Mytilus edulis: one gene and its partners. The protein of the gene in region 2 interacts with the protein of the main gene of each other region in a pairwise test. Links are inferred from orthologs where the notes say so. Each region holds a gene or a part of one and is shown on either strand. Other genes may lie near its edges.

What was found.
Region 1: the proteins of peripheral plasma membrane protein CASK-like (region 2) and protein lin-7 homolog C-like interact in a two-hybrid assay, tested with the Drosophila melanogaster proteins (2 studies listed by BioGRID). The link is inferred for Mytilus edulis from reciprocal best matches to the Drosophila melanogaster genes CASK and veli.
Region 3: the proteins of peripheral plasma membrane protein CASK-like (region 2) and voltage-gated delayed rectifier potassium channel KCNH1-like interact in binary tests that used the Drosophila melanogaster proteins (3 or more experiments, as listed by UniProt). The link is inferred for Mytilus edulis from reciprocal best matches to the Drosophila melanogaster genes CASK and eag.

The regions. Positions count from the first base shown.
Region 1 is NC_092350.1:93,079,353-93,087,266, reverse strand, and holds the start of protein lin-7 homolog C-like, read right to left. Parts: upstream 3,037-7,914; 5' UTR 3,004-3,036; coding exon 2,964-3,003; intron 1-2,963.
Region 2 is NC_092346.1:104,008,420-104,016,344, reverse strand, and holds the start of peripheral plasma membrane protein CASK-like, read left to right. Parts: upstream 1-4,834; 5' UTR 4,835-5,005; intron 5,006-7,925.
Region 3 is NC_092346.1:102,702,115-102,709,895, forward strand, and holds the start of voltage-gated delayed rectifier potassium channel KCNH1-like, read left to right. Parts: upstream 1-4,739; 5' UTR 4,740-5,050; coding exon 5,051-5,129; intron 5,130-7,781. UniProt on the Drosophila melanogaster protein: Structural component of a potassium channel. Mediates the potassium permeability of membranes; potassium current is regulated by CaMKII and CASK. Has a role in growth of the perineurial glial layer of the larval peripheral nerve.

The DNA of each region.
Region 1 (7,914 bases), on a different chromosome or scaffold from region 2:
TGACTCCTGTGTAAAACCAGTCCTTCTCTATGGAAGTGAATTGTGGGGTCCGTACATTCTTAACCTGGACAAAAGATTAACACAAGGTTCAAATGATGATTTAGAAAAAACTTTTTTAAATTTTGCTCCTGAAAAGGTTCACATTCGATATTGTAAATATGTACTTGGTGCCACTAAATATGCTCCTAATATTGCCAGTATGGCAGAACTTGGTCGTTATCCAATCTCTATATTTGTTATTTTGCAATCTCTTAAATACTGGCTATATTTGTATAAAGACCCTCTTTTGAATTTTTCAAAATTAGCATATAAGTCAATCAAAAAAGTTGATTGTACCTTTCCATGTACCTTCAATAAACACATTTTTAAGTTTCTAAAATTAATTAATTTTGACCATGTTTGGAATAATAAAGGAACTATGTCAGAAGGAAAACTTATATCTGCAGTGAAAAAGATATTACAAGAAAGATATGGAAATTACTTTTTCTCATGTTTGTCAGATGAAAAGCAAAACAAACTACGAACATATTACAAGTTAAAAGAGGAATATAAACCTGAGACTTATACAAAGTTAAATATCCCAAAACAATATGTTAGACAATTATGTAAATTAAGAATTTCTAACCACAGTTTACACATTGAAAAAGGCAGATATAATAAAACGCCTTTGGATCAAAGAATATGTACACATTGTATTGATAACAAAATTGAAGATGAGTTTCATTTCATATATATGTGAATGCAACCTCTATCACGAGGAGAGGGAAATGTTTTATGATGACATTGTTAATATTATACCATGTTTTTGCAATTTAGATAATTTTGATAAATTTAAATATTTAATGAACTGTTCGGAGACTGATGTTCTCACCAGTTTTCTTATATATATAGACAAATGTATTTTGATTAGACATTCATCAGTGGGAATAATTGCATAATATTGAAATGTGAGTTTTGTCTTTTGCTTGTTATAAGTGTCAAAATTGTTGTCTGTTATGTTTTATTTTTGTTTTGTATATGTTTTTTATATGTGTTTATGTGTTTCAGCAATGATCCTTTTGTACTGGATTTTATACTGGGGGTGGGGGTGGGGGTGGGGGGGGGGGTGGGGGCAAGGGGTTTAACTGTTATGCTGTTATGGGGCAATTTTATTCTTTGTTATCTGTTATTTTGAAAATATATTTGCTGTTAGCTGTTATTGTCTTATTCTTTGTTAGCTGTTATTGGGCTTTTAGTTTTTTTGTTATCTGTTATTGTGATAATGTATTTGCTGTTAACTGTTATTGAAAATTGGAATGTTAGCATTTTTTTTGACAGTCAATATTCGGTATAAATTGAAGATCATTGGCCATTGGGGTCTACCACTACTAATATGTTTGTCCCGTATTCAGAGAAGGATTCCATTAACATATACCCATCACAGAAGTGAGGTCCAGGACAATTATGATTATCCTTTGTAATAAATTCCATTTTTTTTATGAATGTGTATTTAGAATTATCTTAATTTTTTGTATGAGAATAATGTTCCTTGTTTTCCGTACGAACATATTAAATTAAAACAATTTTTAATATGACAAAAAGGAAAACATATGGCCAGGAATATCTGACAAGGATCTCAATTAAGGACTAGGTCCTAACAACCACTTAACCTTTTATATAATATTGTACATAGACTCAGCTCTGTGATTCTTTTCAAAGCAGAACCAAATGCATTGTACAATGAAAGTTCCAACCATGTACTTGGGTCCGAAGCTGCACATAACTCATTACAAACAAAGATTTATTTCGTTTCAAGCCATTGTTTCCCTACTAAACTATGTATTCTACTTACTAGTACACTTGGTACAATCAAAAACCTCAGCTGATAAAAAATTGTTCAAAAAAGGCCTTTGAAAATAGTGGAATTAATTGCTTTTAGAGTGTCAAAATTCGTTCGAAGTACTTGATAAATTGCATGCTTATAATTGGTGCTTTTGATTTTTCTACTCTATATACCACTTCGCCTCATAGTTTTATTAAGAAAAAATCACACACCTCATTAAATGGTCATTTAGAAAAATTCAGAATATTCAAACTCTTTTAGGTCACTTTTTTGATTAGCAACAAAGGGAGCTTCAGTCAATATATATAAACAATACACCAACAATTCATGAGAACTGCTGAAAACATTTTTGAGTTAATGTCTGAAAACTGGAAAATCACCCCTTTTTAATTAATAAAACCCGTTAACTCGGAAACGTAAAATCTAAAATTTATAAAAATTGAAAGTTACCTCATGTTAATTCAACAAAATTCCTTGCTTTGTGAAAGCATTTTTGAGATATTATCAGAAGACTGAAAAAAAACCACCAATTTTATTGAATAAAAACCCATTATCCAGAAACTTAAAATCTAAAATTTATAAAAAAAAAAAAAGAAAAAAAAAAGGGAGCTCACGTCAATAGATATAAACAATTTCCCAAAGTTTAATGCAAATGGTTAAAGAGTTTTTGAGTTAATGTCCGACATGTTGACAACAGACGGACAACAGTATACCATAATACGTTCTGTAAACGAGCGTATAAAAAATATTATTTGAGGAGTAATTTAAACACATTCTAGTTACATAAATTAATACTAAAAACATAGTCATAAAAAATGGAACGCATTACAAAGGATTATATCCGCAATAAGAAATACTGATTTGTCAAAGACCGAATTATTTTAATATTTCATTTACTGTTATCTGTTTTTGTCCATTTTAATTCCTTGTTATCTGTTATGAGCCAAATCAATTTGCTGTTTTGCTGTTATTGGGACCCCCTTGCCCCCCCTCTATACTGAATAAAATTAGTTAGTTAGTTAGTTAGTTACACAAAACCAAAAACGTTAAATATCTTTCAAAGGTGTAAAAGGCTTTTTTTTTCTGTTTCGCTCTACACAATGTTTATCATTGCAACATATGCTTTGATATCGTAATTTACCTTTTTCTAAATGAAGCGGTTCAACATTTATCGACGCCATGACTTCCTGGTTGCAGTTGTTTCCCCTTGGAGGGAAGGTCTATTAACAGGACAGATAAAACCAGGACACTTTTTTTCGATACGTTTTTATCTGTAACTTTTGTTTTACTCAACACATGGTTAAAATTTTAATTGTATAATAAAGAAGAAAGTATTTACTAACATTATTAATAAAAAAAACATATAAAAAAAATTAAGAAGTAAGAAAAAATCTGCCAGGACAGTTATATTTTAAGAAAAAAATGGCTGAAATTGCCGTGAAAAGTTTACTTATAATTGGAATATTTTCTCCAAAACAACTGTCTGGCATAATATTTTGGTACGATTGTAAAGTTTATGGAATATCAATTATAAAAATCTATAATTTTATTTTTTTTCCATCTCTTAAAGGTAAAAAAATCTGCCAGGACAGTAGACTTTTACATTAGAAAGTTTGTTGAAATTAGTTCAGGATCAAAATATAAAGTTGAATATCTTCTTCAAAATAAATGTCTGGTAAACAAATGTTAGTTCATTGGAAAGTTTAGAATATACGCTTTATGATAATATAAAATTATATGAATTTTTATGTCATTAACGTAAAAAAAATCTGCCAGGACAGTAGCCTACTCCATTAAATTTTAAGCTAAAAACGGCTGAAATTGCCGAGAATTTTTTACTTATAATTGAAATAAATTCTCCAAATCAACTGTCTGGCATATTATTTTTGTATGATAATAAAGTTTAACAAACTTTTATTTCTAAAATCTACAATTCAATATTTTTTTCGTCTTTTAAAGGTAGGAAAATCTGCCGGGACAGTAGACTATTACGTCAGAAATTTTGTTGAAATTAGTCTAAGGTCATAATATAAAGTTTAATATCTTCTTCAAAATAAATGTCTGGTAAACAAAAGTAGGTGCATTGTAAAGTTTAGAGTATAAGCTTCCAGAAAATATAAAAAAATATGGACTTTTATTTCATTAACATAAAAAAAATCTGCCAGGACAGTTGCCTTATGCGTAAAAAAATTGGTAGAAATTCGCTTAAAATCAAATTAATCTTTTCTTCAAAATTAATGTCTGGCAGGAACAATCATGTTTATAGGAAAGTTCGAATATTCAGCTTTATGGAAATATGAAAGAAAGAAAATACAATTATCTGTGTGTTTATTTAAATAATATTTACTTATTTGCTATGTTGAATAATTTGATCTATTTTCAGATTTATTTATTAAAGGCAGCAGACATATCGTTGAAAGGGCATGGGCTTATATTTTATTAATCAAAAACATTTCAATTATACACATACATATATATAAAATAAATAATCATGCAAAACAATAAAAACCAAATAAAATAAAAACTATAATATCCCAAATTAAGTTTTGACAGTAATAAAAACTTCAAAGTCACTGATTGGTGTCAAATCATCAAAGGTGTTTATTCACTAATTAGTAATGTGTTTAGAGCAAAGGAATGTGTCACCATCTTTTAATCCGGTACATGAAAAGTGTTTCCATTATATGGTCATTTTTATAAATTTTCTGTTTACAAAACTTTGAATTATTCGAAAAACTAAGGATTTTCTTACCCCAGGAGTAGATTACCTTAGCCGTATTTGGCACAACTTTTTGGAATTTTGGGTCATCAATGCTCTTCAACTTTGTATTTGTTTGGCTTTTTAACTATTTTGATCTGAGCGTCACCGATGAGTCTTATGTAGACGAAACGCGCGTCTGGCGTATAAAATTATAATCCTGGTACTTTTGATAACTATTTACACCACTGGGTCGATGCCACTGCTGGTGGACGTTTCGTCCCCGAGGGTATCACCAGCCCAGTAGTCAACACTTCGGTGTTGACATGAATATCAATTATATGGTCATTTTTATAAATTTTCTGTTTACAAAACTTTGAATTATTCGAAAAACTAAGGATTTTCTTACCCCAGGAGTAGATTACCTTAGCCGTATTTGGCACAACTTTTTGGAATTTTGGGTCATCAATGCTCTTCAACTTTGTATTTGTTTGGCTTTTTAACTATTTTGATCTGAGCGTCACCGATGAGTCTTATGTAGACGAAACGCGCGTCTGGCGTATAAAATTATAATCCTGGTACTTTTGATAACTATTTCCAACTGTTGCATTTTTTAACACCTTTTTGCCATTCACATCCTAACATGTCTTCTACTGAATCACATTTTCCACACTCACAGTTACATTCTACAACACTGGTTTTATATTTCGGTTTACCTTTCATGCTAATTTTTTTTTTTGGAAATGGAATAAATTCACCTTTTTCCAAACAAATCACAAGATGTTCTCTTAAAAGTTCAGTGTCAAATTCTACATGTATCCCACCTGAAAAACTTGTAAAACAAAATTCTACAGCATTTGCAATTGCAAACAACCCACAATCTATGGAATTAGTTTGTTTCTGAACTTCTGGTAACTTGACCAAAAGCCTTTTTTTACCATGTGAATATATTTGTGAAAGCTGTATTTCTGAAGATGTTGTAAGTGTGTCATACACGCTGTCCAATAGATAGACTTCATTTGATTGTTTGGTTAAAGAAGTGACCCAGTGTGAATGCCCTGTATGGTGAATTTGTACAGCTGGAGCCTGTGTAGGTGTAAAACTTGTCTCAGAAAGCCATTTTTTTTGTTGATTACAGAAAACTGGAGCATAACATGTGTTCTGAAAACCATGGATTAATGGAAACTGTTTTGAAAGAATGTTTTGTGCATAATTAACAATGTCGGAAGTTAAGCACTTACTATCTGAAATAGTTTTTTTGTCTACTTGTGTAAGTGTACCTATCCATGGTTGTTTTTTTTTCCTGTTCAATTTCAATCGAAATTGGCGGAGATGGAAAGTCAAGTTTTCTCTTTTTGACCTGGTGGTGTGTCATCTAATGTAATTATGTTATCCTTTTTTTCGTCTGGTGAAATAGGACATGTATCAATTTCTTCCTCGCTAACAGTCTCCAAATTAAAGTGAAGTTTCTTTTTAGAATGTGGTGTTTTTGATTTTGTTTTTAATGCTGATTTCTGTGGTGATTTCTGTGTTGAATGTACTTGTGAAGGTGTTTTTGGTGTGTTGACTAAATAAGCCGAGTCTGGAGCTGGTTCTACAACAGGATCGTAATCGTTTTGCCTAGGTTGTTTTTTTCCTGATTTTTTGTCAACTCTCTTTCTGTTATTTTTTGTTAAAACTCTTAGACTAACTACTGGTCTTTTTTCAATGGGTTCTTGACCAATGCTCATTTTTGCTGCAAGGATATGAAAGCATGTAGTAGTAGATGGACACTGACAAGTTTCCTTCGGAAATAAAGTGACACAATACTTACCATTTCGACCTTGAACAATGAAAGCTGCTTGAGATGGAACAAGTGTGATTAGGTTGTTGTCAACTATATACTTTGCCAAAGCGTGCTGACTACTAACAAAAGCAGGAAAGTCAAACATAGTATTAATGACTGGAGTGTCTTTTTCTTTTGGTGTGGTGGGTGTACTATGTTCAGTTTTAGAATCGGATAGATCTTCCACTGTTTCTGTCGTTTCAGCAGACGGAGACGACAACTGTGGTGTATTTATGTGTGCTGTTTTCAGGTACGAAATTATATCGGATGGTGCTATGAGTTTCTTAGGTATGAACAAATCGTGTATGTCAATTTTTGCCCTCGAAAACTCTGTTTTTAAATGATAGTCCCCAACACCTGCCAAACCTCTAAGAATCTCGTAGTGATCAAAATTTTGTAGAAAATGAAAACCCAAAGCAAGCATATCAACTGGTAACTCTTTCCAATCGTTTTCTTGTTTTAAAACAGCGTTATAACTTTCTGACAGATTGTTTGTGATACCTGAGTATGGGTCATATAAACCTTCAAACTGTTCTAAAACCCATTTTCCTGATCTCTCTAAAATATCAGTTTTTAGCTCTTTTTCAAAATATGACACAACTTCGGATGTCCATTTAGATGTCAGATCTTTGGAAAGCTCTAAGAATTCATTCTCAGAGTCACATTGAAGCATCTGTTTTAACTGATGATGATATAGCCTGATATTATCAGGAGAAACTTTTTTTTTATTCAACCAGTACTTAAAATCGTTTCGTAAATGATTCCAGCATGTAAGTATAGGACAATCAGGCAAAATATTTTTAATAGCTTTTCGTATACCAGCTTCTCTGTCCACTACAATGGGAATTCTTTTTTTGGAAATTTTCGGAACAGCAAATTTCAAAAAGTTAAATAAAGTCTCGTGAACACTTCCAAATTTTCTATCATGAATAACAAAAGCCAAAGGAATAAGAGGTGTCTCTTTGAAAAGAATATGTTTAAATACTATGGCCGAAACGTAACAATCACCTAGGTTGAATGTGGTGTCATAAGATAAATAAAGCTGTTCATCAGATTTAACATCTAAGAGTTGGTTAAATTGAGTGATGATTTCTGGTAAGCTTACAACAGCCACTAAATCTGGGTAAAGTGTTAACTGTTTCACGAACCCATCTAAATGGGAAGATAGCTGAAAAAAAATATATAAATCATCTCTACTCAATAACTGATCACCTCGCCGCTTCTGAAGTGCATTCTTTACCTGTTTGCTATTCCTAGGATTAGCTACACCTTGCATGTTACCCTCGACTTGTTCAGAACATACCATAGTCCTATATAATTTTTTGGCACCCTCACTACCTACATGGTCCTTTACCTTATCAATTACTGATGGCATTGTTCTTTTGAACTCACCATCATGTTTGCTATTACCATGTGCCATAGGTGTATATATCGTCTCATCGCCAATGTAATGAACCAAAACCAATGTAGGTCTATTTGTCAACCAATAGCCGACCTTTTTGAATTTTAATGAAAACCTCGGTCTTACACGCCCAGATTTTATCTCAGTACCTGGAATTCTTACTTTGT
Region 2 (7,925 bases):
TGCTCTTTGGTCGGGTAATTGGTGTCTTCATGACACATTACCCATTTTTATTCTGAATTTTATTCTCAACAATCTAATGAATCAAATACAACACATTCCCAACTGATGTTTACGCGTTGCTCTTATGTTGTTACACCAATGTACTGGTTTATGAGAGGCTTGAGCTCTCACAAACATGTCTAACCTCGCCCACATTCTAAATGAGCCTGTTCTTGGTCTCAGTGAGCCTGTAGTTCAGTGGTTGCCGTTGGTTGCTGTCGATGTCATATTAGTTTGGTTTGGTTTGTATTGTTTTGTAACAAATAAGTCGTTGATCATCTCTTTCCAATATCGTTGCCGTATTTTGTCATGTCAATGTCTTTTATAGCTGACTTAACGGGGTGGGTGTTGTTCATTATTGAAGATCGTACGGTGACCAACATAGGCTTGGACTTAGCATTCACCAAGTTGTAGACCTACATGCAAAGTAACAAAATTAATCCATTAGTTTCTTAGGTCTTTTATTCCTTCCCCCAACTCGTTACGACGAAATGATAATTAAAGTATTAATCCGCAAAATATTCAGATATATAAAGAGTTTTTGAATATATCTCAATATCACCATGCAGTTATTTTGAACAGAGGAAAATTTTAAACTACAAATTTAGAGTAATTTCACCAAGAATCTGGTAGATGCCAGATTATGCCCTGATAAAAGACTATTTTCTACTGTATTTTGCCGCAGTGTAAACATAATTCTAGTGGACAACTAGATAACACCTGGTCTAAATCGCGTAAAAATATTGTATTTGTTTATCCACTCAATGCAATATGGTTAACGACTAATAAAGACACAAGAAGCCAATTATTTAGTACTGAGACTATTATACTAGACTTATAGTATCTGTTATAGTAGTATCAGTTTAAAATTACAGCCTATTACATTGAGTGTGTAGGCAAAGGTGATATCTTTGGTGTTAGCTTGCTTTCTAGCTGAACCGTAGTCATTATAAGTTAAGTATACTACCCTTCTTTCGAAGTAGCCTAGTCCTACAGACAGATAGATTGGTTATCTGTCGGACTAGTCTACTCTTAAAGGAGGGAAGTTTACCGAACTTAATAATAACTTCACGGTTCAGCTAGCAAACAAGCTAACCAAATATATTACCTTTGTCTACACACTCAATGTAATTGGCTGTAAAGAAATATTGATATAATCTCGGTTACCATGTATGTCTCTGCATCAACAAAGTAAATAATGACAACTTCCCTTTTTGCCGACTTTACTAATACCACTGAAATAATGCGCAGAACTGTGTTGTTGTTTTTTTTTATATCTGCAGCAGACTATTTGTTGTATATTGCAGCATGCATGATCATAATCTGTACCTGTGTCACCAGCAAGTCAACAATTTTAGTCAGTTTTATTTGTAAAGACTCAGACGTACTTATAAATATAATTATTTTCTGTGACTGTATCTTACATTAATTTGTAGGATCCTTTACTATAGATAATTGAGCTGATATGTAACAATAACATCTCCATGCCTTATATATCATGTACTGTAGTACGACACTAGATTAAAACTGACGAGGCAAGGTAACACACGGCCACCAAAAGCTTTATTATTGTGAAGCCCCGATAGCCTAGCGGGACGGCTACAGTGCAGGCGATTTGGTGTCACGATATTTCAGTAGCATGGGTTCGAATCCCGGCGAGGGAAGAACAAAAAATTTGAATTTGCTAAAGCAAATTTACAGATCTAACATTGTTGGGTTGATGTTTAGACGAGTTGTAATTGAAAACTACGTTCAAACCTATGACTGCCAGTGGCCGGCGTAGTCAGGGTTGAAATGATGTGGATGTTTCGCCGAGGGGAGCGAGGCGAAATTTTTTTTTTTACCTTTTTATGCAGAAAAATATTTTTTATTTAAGCACATGTACTCCCCCAGAATCCGACACTAGTTAGATTTTTGTTTAAATTCAAAATACCCACCAATTCATATATTTATATTTTTAACCAAATTTTATTGTTTCCTCGAAACTACCATCATTCAATTCATAAATATTTGATGTAAAGTTTCCCACCCAATCTTATATTTGACATATCAAAAACGGACCTCATTACAGCTGCACTTCTGTAAAATTTAGGAACTTCGGAATATAGGAACTGAAGTGACTTCTCTTTCCAGGAATTTGAGTCTACAACCTTGGGTTTTTGGTTTTTGATTACTGAGCTAAACGCGTTGCAGGAGACATAAAAATACCGGGCGTCCGATCGTCTGGTCTTGTTAGCACTCTCATGTGTACAATTTTTGTTAGATTAAATGAATCTCATATCTTAAGCAATGTCTTTGACAATTTGGAAAATAAGTCGTAATCAAATATTTTTAACCAGTTATGGCCCTTTAAAATATAAATTGTAATGGAAATCACATTTCATTTGCTGTGAAGCTTTTATTTCTCTTAAGATATTGAAAAGAAAAAAGTGTTTTTTTAGTTATGCCTTGTTCCTAATTGCCCTTTGATAGATAAAAATATGACATGTAATGTTAAGCTGCTGCTATTTTTATTTTATTTTTGTCAAAATGATGTGGATGCTGAGCATCCGAGCATACATGCAAGCTACGCCACTGAATTTGCGTTGGATAAAAACCGCAATTTTTATACGTGTGCATGTAAAACAAATTGTATTGTTGAAGGGTCTAAATACAGCACAAACAACATTTTCCAAAAGACCAAAAAAGTGAAAAAGTATATTTAAACAAAGGGCATTTGACTAACAGGTCGAACAACTGATGTCCTTTAACCCTGCTGAATGCCATTGGCGATTGCCAAATAAAATTGATCACAAGATCAGGGGCGTAGCTAGAAAGAAACGATGTGCAAGCAACTACCGCCGAGCGGAGCGAGGCGAAAAATTTTTTGGACCCTTTTATGCAGATTTTTTTTTTTCGGTTTTCGGTCATAGGACGGTTAAAAGAGGAGCTACATGTAGAAAGGACTTATAAACAATTTATGAATGAAAACTAATTATTAATCTTCTGAATAGAGTAAATCATGGTAAATTGAATACATAAACAACACATTTTTGTGATACCAAAATTACTCAAAATTGTCCAAAATCTGCTCTTCGGGTCTAGGCAGAAACGAACTTCTCTATTACTTTGTCAATATTAACACTGAATTCCCGATGAATATGCAGTAATGCTAGCGATGATAACCTGTCGTTGTTCATTGTTGATCGTACATTTGCAAGTTTTCAACAGACGTATTACCTTGATATATCTCCACGGTAGCACCCGCGAGGTGTTATAAATCAACGTACGTGTTCGCCATCGAGCGACCTCCCAATTGAATACGTCAAAATTACATGCCAGGTCAGTTTCGTATGTCTCAGAGATTTCTTCGTTTGTTATATTTCCAACAACACAAGGAAGCAGATACGGCGCAAAGAAGCGATTTTCTAATAATACCAGACGCGACTCCACTCTCCAGTTTCATTATCATATGGTCTATGAACGCAAAATATAATGAGACTTTCCAATACTGTTTTGGCGTGTTTGCAGGGTGATTGGGTCTTGTTGTCTGTCGAACACATCGCCTCAGGATCTGATAAATCTAATGCCGATTGGTACATCTCATTCCAAACAGATAAACCGTACTCAGTAAAATGTGCTCCAAAACTACATGTCTTAGACTGAGTATAACAAATTCAAATCTTGTAAAAGATACAAGTTGCTGTCCGATTTTTTCATGATCTCCAATAAAACTTTTATTTTGAAACCAAATGCCGTTATTTAATGACATTTCATTAATCCAAAAATAGTGACAACATATGTGTTTCCTTTAATCATTTAATTTATATTTTTATTTTGCCATATTTTTTTTTGGATGCCGAATCGATGTGCACGCAACTGCGTGTTAGCGTATATGCAGCTACGCGCCTGAAGATGTAACAAAATGGATCTTAATATAAATTTAATACTAAACAGAAAACAATTAACTTGTGGCCATGATGTAATGCCACAAAACTAAGGTGTTTTTTGTACACCAGATCCGGATTTCGACAATAAATGTCTCTTCAGTGATGTTAGGGATCAAAACGGTATTTGGGAGGCCATATAGAATTTGCCCTCATTTTTAGATAGACTCTTGAATTTTAACAGTCAATATAGGATGAACGGATCATATAAACCGGAGAGAAAATATGATACAAGTCCAAACGAAAAAATATAAACTTGAAGTCTGAATTCAAAACTACGTTCAAACCTATGATTGCGTTGGATAAAAAAAAGTTATGATAAAATTTGAAGGCAATTGTTTATAAAAGGTACAATGTTTAAACAAATGTTTTAAACAATGATTCTAAAAGAATAACACCTATTCAATAAAGAAATAATGAAAACATAAAAAAAATATTTAGAAACAGGGGGTATATTTCCCCATATCGCCCGAGACACTATCAGTACACTAAAATCCTTGATTTAAAGTGGAAAGCGGAAACGTAACAACTATATCAAATCGCAAATTTAAACCATCGTATATTTTTTTTCATTTTTTCCACTTGAGACTATATTAGCTATACTTGCAGGTTTAAAATACTTTTGTCTAATCAGTTTTCAGCCCAACAACAATTTTATCGGATTATATAGTGTATTATAATAAACATTTTAAAATGTTTATGATTTGACCATGGTGATATATATTTGAAAATCATTTCAGTTTTAAAATAATATCACAATTCTATGGATATCTTATTTTTTAGTGTTGGTAGTTATCTTGGATTTGATTGGGATTTTGAAATTATGTAGTTTGAGAACGCCCAAATGTTTATCTGACCCCATAATTCGTCGCGCACCTGGTACTTCCGCTATGGAGTAAAGAATCACATCAATACACATCACCTGCTATTTAACGATTAATTACTTGATTAAGCAGTTAATTAAAACCTGCACGGTCTATTAACTCTTAAGGCAGTTAAAGGGAAGCCTACCTGACATGACACTGGCCATCAAATAACTTGTAAGTTTAAGTTTATGCAATGATAATGACAATACCAACTGTTTGGAGCATGCTAAACTTTAAAATGTTTTGCACTTTTCACTTAAAGTGGAAAGACTGCCACTTGTTCCTGGTAAAAAAATAAACTCCCTTTAAAAATTCCTAAAACTAAAGTTTGTATAGTTTTGTTTCGGTACAGAACTTAACTTAAGCAAGTGCCTGTGAGTGAAATTTTGATAGGCAAGTTGTTTTATTAATATTACTATTAAATACATAGTCTAGATTTCATTAATTTTTCCCTAAGTCATATATTTTGTGTAAGTACATACATTTGCATAAATTACATTTCATGATGCTCTCTGTGTGAACAGTTTTCCCTTTAGATAAAATGAAGTGAGGTGATAATGAACAGATGAAGAAGAAAGTTATAAAATTAAAATCCAAACAATGTCATGTAATATATAAAAAAGATAATTATAAATACAAGCATTTAACATTGACTCAATTTTATTATGATTAGACAGGGTAAACATTTCCCAAATTTGCAAAGGAAATAAATCATCTTGCAAAGTTCTCTAACTTCAATTCAGACAATCAATAACCCACATTTCAACGAGGGCTTACATCTCATTTACCTCGGTTTACTGGAAATTCAGGATACTACTTAATGTAGAAGATGGCTTCATATCTTGATCTTTCCTCAAGTTTGATGTCTTCATACTAGAATCTATGACAAACTTAATTAATTCAACTTTCCAGGTGTCAACTCCCCATTTACTAGTACCAACGTTAACGTTATGTTCTGCTCAATCATAATATGTTTGTTATACATCTCAGTTAATATGTTAAACCTTTTCATGTTCACACTATATGGACTTTATTAGTGTCATGTGTGTACTCCTAACACAAAAGGTGTCATACCACCAATTAAAAGTCCCTATCTGTTCAACCAAATTTTGCAATTTTCACAGCTTTCTAAATATTTTACCTTAAGTTTAACTTCATAGAAACCAGGTATATCCTGAATCGTACATGTATCGGCTTTCTACATGCCAATTTTCAACAGATGTTTAAAATCATATAAAAAAGAAAAGGTCTTCGGAATAGAGATACATTGTACCATTAAAAAACCCCTGGTTTTCTGGAAATCTTAAATTAATAGTATACATGTACTATGGAGTGCATTAATCCTCAATTTTGAATGCAAACTCATAAACAAGTAAATTTTAGCTCAAAATGGTCTTAATATATTTCTCTTTCACCAAAAGTTTCATTTCTGCCAATTTATTGGTTAGTTTAAGTAAACTATGACATCAAGTGTACTATTTTTTGTCTGAGTAGGCCTACTTTCACATACGTTCTAAATTGGAGGGAGTAATTGGTGGTGTGACACCAAAAAATGCTACAACAGTATTATGAAATGTATGAGGAAGAACGACTATTGTTTACTAATTAACGAAAGAAAAACAGTAACATTGCTTTACATAAACCTCAGTCGTCTCAGGGACATTTATAAACAAGCTTTGTAAGTAGCCTAGTCATTTGATTATAAGTGTTATGAATGTTGCTTTCTCAACATTTACAAAAATTTTCGCCTTAAAAACTACTTGGCCAAATTTAAACAATACTTGGCCACAGTTGTCATTGGGGTATCAAATTTTAAACTGTCCAATGACCCTGCCTGCCTTAACCAAGGTCCATTCCAACATGGTTAAAAATAGAAGAACAGGGTGAAATGCAAGTTTTAGCTATTGTATTGAAAACCTGCAATCAATAAAGAAAATATGATAGACAACTTTCGAGTTCGGTGCATTTCCGTCAAAAACTTTAGTTTTAGTGAACGTCATTTGTGCGTTTAGGGGCGTCGTCACTTCCATTCCAATGTTGAGCGAGTGGTTGGAAAACTATAATTCTATATTGTACGAATTATTCGGCAAATTGAATTCTCAAAATTGACAATCAGCATTGCTGTCATTAGGGAATTGTCATAATGTACCTACAGAACAACCATTATTTCTAGTTTATCCTGCACAAAGACGATCACTAAGACGCTTGATGAACGTAAATAGTGCAGGGATACAGGCGACCCCCTCTATCTGGTAAATGACGTCATTAAGGCGCGTATAATTGACGAGTTTTTGCCGGTGACGGATGAACTCGAAAGTGGTCTATTGGTAAAAAATGTTCAGAATGTCAAGCTTGACCTATTGTCCATTTATGTCAAAACTGCCAGATGACTTAATGCCCTTAATGACAAAAAGACAAAATTGAAATTGGAAATATGCCAAAAAGACAACAACCCAACCAAAGAGAAGATAACATTAGATAGAATTTTTAAATTTAAAAAATGTTCAACACAACAGGATCTACAAATAAACCAAAAATAGATCTGAAATGTTCGGTCTATTCTTTATAAAATTATCGCCCTTTATTGACGATTACCAAATTTAGCACTTTTGTTTATATCTTAAATAAACTAATAGAAACTTTAAGGAGTAAAAATGATCAGCAAGACAAAATCAACAAAAAAGTCGAAATTGTTACATGAATCCCTATTGAAGTTATTGCCCTTTTGATTTACGTTTTTTTCACATTTTTGCTTGTTATTTTAAAAGTAATAGATAGATACTGTAAATAGCATGAATGATTAGCAAGACAATTTCTACAAATAAGGCTTACATAATTAATCTTCTGTTGACTCATTATTGGAGGTTTTGCCCAGTATTTAATGATAATTTACAATCATGAACAAAAGAAGATAACTGCAAATAAAATTTTAACTTGCAAATTGATTAGTTATTACAATTCAATCTTTTATTTAAAAAATTAACAAAATTGCAAAATAAAAATTATCTTTAGCTTCCTGTGCTTTGAATTGAATTTTCTTGAAAACTTTAATAGATAAATACATGTAGAAACTTAAAAAAATTTATCAGCAGGT
Region 3 (7,781 bases), about 1.3 Mb from region 2:
AGAAACACTGAAGTGCAACAACAACAAAAAACGACAATGCAATACACACACAGAAACGAACAATAAGATAACAACTGCCATTTTCCTGACTTGATACAGAACATTTTAAGAGAAAAGAAAATGGGTTGAACCTGGGTTTGTGGCTAGCCAAACCTCGCGCTTTTATGGCAGTGTTAAATATAACATTAAAATGACAAAATTACATGACAGGACTACTTTTTAAATAAATGGGAGAACATATAGGACAGTTTTTTGGGAATATGCACATATCAAATTTCAGTTAAAGTACAACAATGACACAAGGTATAAAGATATTGACAAATATTGTCCCATGTTTAAACTTACGTAAAAGCATGGTATCAACGAATAACTTCTTAAACATTTAAGCAAAAAGTTTTAATGATTTACTTAAAAATCTTACAGATTGGTGGAATTATCTTAATGCTTTTGCTTCATTTTTAAAAAGAATTTGATTATGTCCAAGTACCGACTGGTACTGATGTGCTTCAATACTATCTTTATTAATAATTCTGATCAGCTTACATCCTATTTTCTTGGTAATTCAGATAAACTTCCATCCTATCTTTCTTGTAAATTCCGATGAACTTCCATCCTATCTTTCTTATTAATTCGGAGGAGCTCCCGTCCCATCTGTCTTATTAATTTTGATGAGCTTCCATTCTATCTTTCTTGTTAATTCAGATTCCATCCTATTTTCATTTTTTTTATCCTGATGAGTTTTCATCCTATCATTATTGTTTATTAAGATAACTTCCATCCTAATTTCTTGTTAAATTGGACCCTTGATCTTTTTTTTTTGTGGATTCTGATTGACTTCCATCTCATCATTATTGTTAATTCGGATGAGTTTCCATCTCATCATTATTGTTAATGCGGATGAGTTTCCATCTCATCATTATTGTTAATGCGGATGAGTTTCCATCTCATCATTATTGTTAATGCGGATGAGTTTCCATCTCATCATTATTGTTAATGCGGATGAGTTTTAAACTTATCTTTCATGTTAATTCAGATGAGTTTTCAACCTATTTTATTGTTAATCCAGAGGAGCTTCCAACCTATCTTTATTGTTAATTCGGATGAACTTCCCTCCTATCGTTATTATCAATTATGTTGTGCCTCCATCCCATTTTTTTTAAAGAAATTAAAATGAGCTTTGAACCTATCTTTATTGTTAATTCGGATGAGTTTTCAACATATCTTTCTTATAAATTCAGATGATTTTTCAAACTATCTTTATTGTTAATCCAGATGAGCTTTCGTCCTATCTTTATTGTCAATTTTGATGAGCTTTCTTGTGACTTTTTTTTTATAATTCTGATTTACTTTCATTTGATCTTTATTTTAAATTCGGATAAGCTTTCATCTTATCTGTATTTGTTTATTCGGATGTTTTTCCTTCCTTCCTGTCTTTCTTATTTATTCAGACCAGCTTCGATTCTATCTGTCTTGTTAATTTAGATAAGCTTTCACCCTATCTATCTAGTAACTTCGGATGTGCTTCCATTTTATCTTTTTGGTAAATTCGGATGTGCTTCCACACTATCAGTTTTGTTTATTCTGGTGGACGTTCATTTGTTAGTTCGGATGACACCGGTGTCATAAGGTTTATCGATAAAATTTATCGTGAAAGGATAACTAATGGTGGTAAAGCATTGCAATTGAATCGTGAAAGATCTGGTATTGGATCGTGTTATTTCTGCTTCTGTGAAAAAAGTGCTGTATTTTCAAAAGCTGGAAGAAATCAGAAAAAAAAGTCTGTCAAAACGATTTAACTTGCTTAATAATACTGCGCAATAAGTTAAAGACAAGTTGCAGTACTTGTTTAAGATAACACAAGATGACATACAATCCTGTAAGAATCATTAAGAAAATATCACGTTTTGGATCTAAAATGGTCGCATTTCAATATATAATGATATATTTGAAAGGTGAAAAATAATATTCAATGTGTTTCAGAAAGTCAAGTTAAATAGAACTATATTATTACTTAGCAAAAAGGTTCATATTATTTTTGAAAAAGCTTAACGATGCGTGACCTGACTCAATAATCAGAAAACAACATTTCTTTTACCAATAGACATACACGTACTACGGGGCGCCGAATGGGACTCTTGTGGTTTTGTACTCAAAATTCAATTTTGTACGGACAAAAGTGACTTTTGTTCAACAAAAATAAGTTCAGTTTAACAAAATTTGTATCATACTACAAATTTAAAATTTTGTCATACAAAATTATCTATCAGCGGACAAAAGTCACTTTTGTCATGACAAAATTCATTTTTGTTACACAGACTTGAATTTTGTTACCTAATTTGAAAATTGGGTGACAAAAGTCAATTTTGTATTCAAATTAGTTTAGTTTGGTTTCTGTGAACTAATTTGCATACAAAATCGACTTTTGTTACACAAAATTGACAAAAATGAATTTTGTCTCAACAAAATTGACAAAATTGACTTTTGTCTCAACAAAATTGACAAAATTGAATTTTGTCTCAACAAAATTGACAAAATTGACTTTTGTCTCAACAAAATTGACAAAATTGACTTTTGTCTCAACAAAATTGACAAAATTGACTTTTGTCTCAACAAAATTGACAAAATTGACTTTTGTGAGACAAAATTGACAAAATTGACTTTTGTCTCAACAAAATTGACAAAATTGACTTTTGTCTCAACAAAATTGACAAAATTGACTTTTGTCTCAACAAAATTGACAAAATTGACTTTTGTCTCAACAAAATTGACAAAATTGACTTTTGTCTCAACAAAATTGATTTTTGTCTCACGAAAGTCAATTTTGTCACATAAAAGTCAATTTTGTTGTTACAAAATTGAATTTTGTCGTCACAAAAATGAATTTTGTCGTCACAAAATTGACTTTTGTCTCAACAAAATTGACAAAATTGACTTTTGTCTCAACAAAATTAACAAAATTGACTTTTGTCTCAACAAAATTAACAAAATTCACTTTTGTCTCAACAAAATTAACAAAATTGACTTTTGTCTCAACAAAATTGATTTTTGTCTCAACAAAATTGACAGAATTGACTTTTGTCTCAACAAAATTAACAAAATTGACTTTTATCTCAACAAAATTGACAAAATTGAATTTTGTCTCACAAAAGTCAATTTTGTCTCACAAAAGTCAATTTTGTCTCACAAAAGTTAATTTTGTCTCACAAAAGTTAATTTTGTCTCACAAAAGTTAATTTTGTCTCACAAAAGTCAATTTTGTCTCACAAAATTGAATCTTACCTCACACAATTGACTTTTGTGATTTAATTTCCATATCAGGTAACAAAAGTCAATTTTGTATGCAAATATGTTTATATTTGCATACCTTTTAGACAAAATTGACTTTTGTCATGACAAATATGAATTTTGTCTACAAAAATGAATTTTGTCATGACAAAAATGAATTTTGTCTACACAAATGAATTTTGTCATCACAAAATTGAAGTTCTCACAAAACAAGTCTGTAGCACATAGTTTTGTAAGACAAAAATGATTTTGTTATGACAGAATTGAATTTTGTACAAAACCACAAGAGTCCCATTCGGCGCCCCGTACGTACTTGTAATAGGTAAAAGCGTGTTATTATTTTTCATCTAATAAGAAAACGAAACTCATCCATATTAACAATAAAGATAGGATAGAAGCACATCTGAATAAACAAGAAAGATAAGATGAAAGCTCATCTGAAGAAAAAAAACCAGAAAGATAAGATGGAAGCTCATCGAAATTAACAAGAAAATAGGATGGAAACTCAACCATATTAACAAGAAAGCTGGATGACAGCTCATCCGAATTAACAAGTAAATAAGATGGAAGCTCATCTGAAATTACAAAAAAGATAGCAAGCAAGCTCATCCAAATAAACAAGAAAATAGGATGGAAACTTTTCCATATTAACAGGAAAGATCCGATAAAAGCTCATCAGAATTAACAAGAAAGATACATATTGGCAATCCTCTATTTTTAAAATAAACTAATTGTACAGTGGGACTTTGGTGAAAAGGCGCCCTTTTTGTACACAGTTTCAATGCCAAGATATATAGGGAAGTGTTATTTTTTTATCCTTTTATGACGTTACATAAAATCATTTGAAAATTTAACTTCATAAATTAAACAGTTGTAATAAGCAATAGAAAGGAAATTGCATCTTGATTGATGGTCATAATTTTATTCAGTATTGTTATCGTGTTTAGTGTTTCCTGTTAAAGTGAATAGGGATAACTTATTTTTTGGAACTGGATTCATAGAAAAATATACTGAAAAATTCAAGTAAAAACAACTTCTACATTTGATTAATATTGAATTTTCCGAGCAAACTGCTATTTAAAAAGACAAATTATATGTTCTACAAAAAACGAATGGTGCAATTTAAATGAACCAGTTAAATCATACAAATTAGTAAATCAATAGTTAACCAAACAAAGCAAGTCTAACATACACCTTTACCTTCATGAATAAATAATTGAATATAGCTTCTGTAAATCGATTAAACAATCTCGCGCAAATGATCGTTTTGCAGTCTCCAATAATAATTGATTCAATCATGCAAATATTTTAAAATCATATTTTTAAAACTCCCTTTACATCTAAATTTTGCATTGATTGAAAGAATTGATAAAAATTGCCTAGACTTTTATCAGAAACGGTTACGGGTGTGCGACAATAACAATATAGGCGACGTTACCATAACAACTAACATCATATTATTGTAGAATGGCTGCGAATTAGCAGTATCAAACGAACTTGTCAGGTGCTTCGTCACCTGTGCGACACATGCGCAATAATAACAAAATGGTTATTAATTATTAAACCGATTTGACCATGTACATAATATCGAAAATTAAAATAAACATGACTTAGACATGTTAGGAAAAAATGTTTTTTGGACCAGAATGTTCTTTTGAACCAACTGAAAACGGAAATTTTATTAACAGTTGACAAATATGGAATTATGGGTTAATTTGTGTACAAAATTTTCTATTGTTCATTGTTTTCTTCATTATCCATAAAAATGCCAGGTGCAAGGAGGGGCCTTGTGGCTCCACAAAATACGTTTTTGGAAAACATTATTCGGCGATCCAATGGACAGCGTAAGTTAAAAAACACACGTAGTCTGTCTTTCTTTTGGTGTTTTTCTCTTTTCAATTATATTGTATCTAGTTGTTGTGATCTTTGTTGTTTATTAAGACCTTTTTTTGGTATATTTGTATTTATTCCATTGACGTTATTTACTGTTCTTCTGGACACGTGTATACGGAATTGAAAAGGAGCAGATAGAACCTTTAAACATCACGATCCGTTTTCATTTGAGGGAGACAACATAACACACTTTGGATAAAGATACCGTGTCTGTCGGCTTTTATTTGGTAATAAAAATGTTGTCAAATATTTAGTTAAAATTAAAATAATTTAAGTGATTCAAATTGACTTGAGATATATTTTTTATAATATATTTTCTGTAACGAAGAACACACATGTGAATCTGATAAATAATGAAACAGTACATACATTTGAAGCGGAGACATATATTTCTGGTTAGAGCATGTTCATTTTCAAATAGCTGATTTCATCGAAATAGACGGATAAAGATATTCCGAATGAAATTGAACCTTAAGAAAGTGTTTCAAGTAAAAAGTACAAACATCTATCGAATTCGAAATTATCTTTAGATTGTAAACGATTGGCTTAATAATTAGTAAAGAAGAAAAAAGTAACGAGAGAAAGAGGGAATTTTGAAAAAAAAGTTTCATAAATGTATACTGCAATACCAATATGACCAGTAAGTCATACAGCACAACACAATTTCCTAATGAAAATTTGTAGGAATAATGTTTCAAAAAGTGTTTATAATGTCGACTTTAAAGTTTTACAAGTATGTTTTACCTGTTGGTGACCTTCTGCTGTTGTCTGTTCTATGGTCGGGTTGTTGTCTCTTTGACACATTCCCCATTTCCATTAATCGATATTTAAGTAAAACAATACTTGAAGATTTAACTTATTACAATTCTAAAGACAACACAACCGAACCTACTGTTATCTAGAAGTATACATGTGATAACCGTCTTATTTCTTTCTCTCATACGGTTTAAACCATCAATCATAATCCCTGTTCTTTCCCTTCCTTCTCTCCTTTCATGCTGTTTAAATCATCAACCATAATCGTTGGGTTTCCTTCTTTCTCTCCTTTCATGCTGTTTAAACCATCAACCATAATCGTTAGGTTTACCTTCTTTCTCTCCTTTCATGCTGTTTAAATCATCAACCATAATCGTTGGGTTTCCTTCTTTCTCTCCTTTCATGCTGTTTAAACCATCAACCATAATCGTTAGGTTCCCTTCTTTCTCTCATTTCATACTGTTTAAATCATCAACCATAATCGTTGGGTTTCCTTCTTTCTCTCCTTTCATGATGTTTAAATCATCAACTATAATCGTTGGGTTTCCCTTCTTTCTCTCCTTTCATACTGTTTAAATCATCAACCATAATCGTTGGGTTTCCCTTCTTTCTCTCATTTCATACGGTTTAAATCATCAACTATAATCGTTGGGTTTCCCTTCTTTCTCTCCTTTCATACTGTTTAAATCATCAACCATAATCGTTGGGTTTCCCTTCTTTCTCTCATTTCATACTGTTTAAATCATCAACAATAATCGTTGGGTTTCCTTCTTTCTCTCATTTCATGCTGTTTAAATCATCAACCATAATCGTTGGGTTTTCCTTCTTTCTCTCATTTCATACTGTTTAAATCATTAACCATAATCGTAGGGTTTCCATTCTTTCTCTCCTTTCATACTGTTTAAATCATCAACCATAATCGTTGGGGTTTTCCTTCTTTCTCTCCTTTCATACTGTTTAAACCATCAACCATAATCGTTGGGTTTCCTTCTTTCTCTCCTTTCATACTGTTTAAACCATCAACTATAATCGTTGAATTTCCCTTCTTTCTCTCCTTTCATACGGTTTAAATCATCAACCATAATCGTAGGGTTTCCCTTCTTTCTCTCCTTTCATACTGTTTAAATCATCAACCATAATCGTTGGGTTTCCCTTCTTTCTCTCCTTTCATACTGTTTAAACCATCAACCATAATCGTTGGGTTTCCTTCCTTCTCTCCTTTCATACTGTTTAAATCATCAACCATAATCGTTGGGTTTCCCTTCTTTCTCTCCTTTCATACTGTTTAAATCATCAACCATAATCGTTGGGTTTCCCTTCTTTCTCTTCTTTCATACGGTTTAAATCATCAACCATAATCGTTGGGTTTCCCTTCTTTCTCTCCTTTCATACGGTTTAAATCATCAACCATAATCGTAGGGTTTCCTTCTTTCTCTCATTTCATGCTGTTCAAATCATCAACAATAATGGTTGGGTTTCCCTTCTTTCTCTCATTTCATACTGTTTAAATCATCAACCATAATCGTTGGTTTTTAACGTCTTCCTCTCATTTCATACTGTTTGAAACGCCAATCATAATCGTTAAGGTTTGTTCCGAAAAGGGATCTAAAATCGTATCTTATAAACTAGCTCTTTTTTTAGTGTCATAGATAACATTTATTCGTTTAGTGTATGTTTTGATTTAAAACATGGTATATGCTGTTTGAATTATCTCTCAACAAGCATCAGTAATGCCACCAAAATTTATCAAAAATAAAATGTCCATCATTACAGTACAAACCTTACGTATCTATTGTTAACCTGTTCTCGTCGTGAACATGTGTGAAATATTTGCCACTGGACGTTAA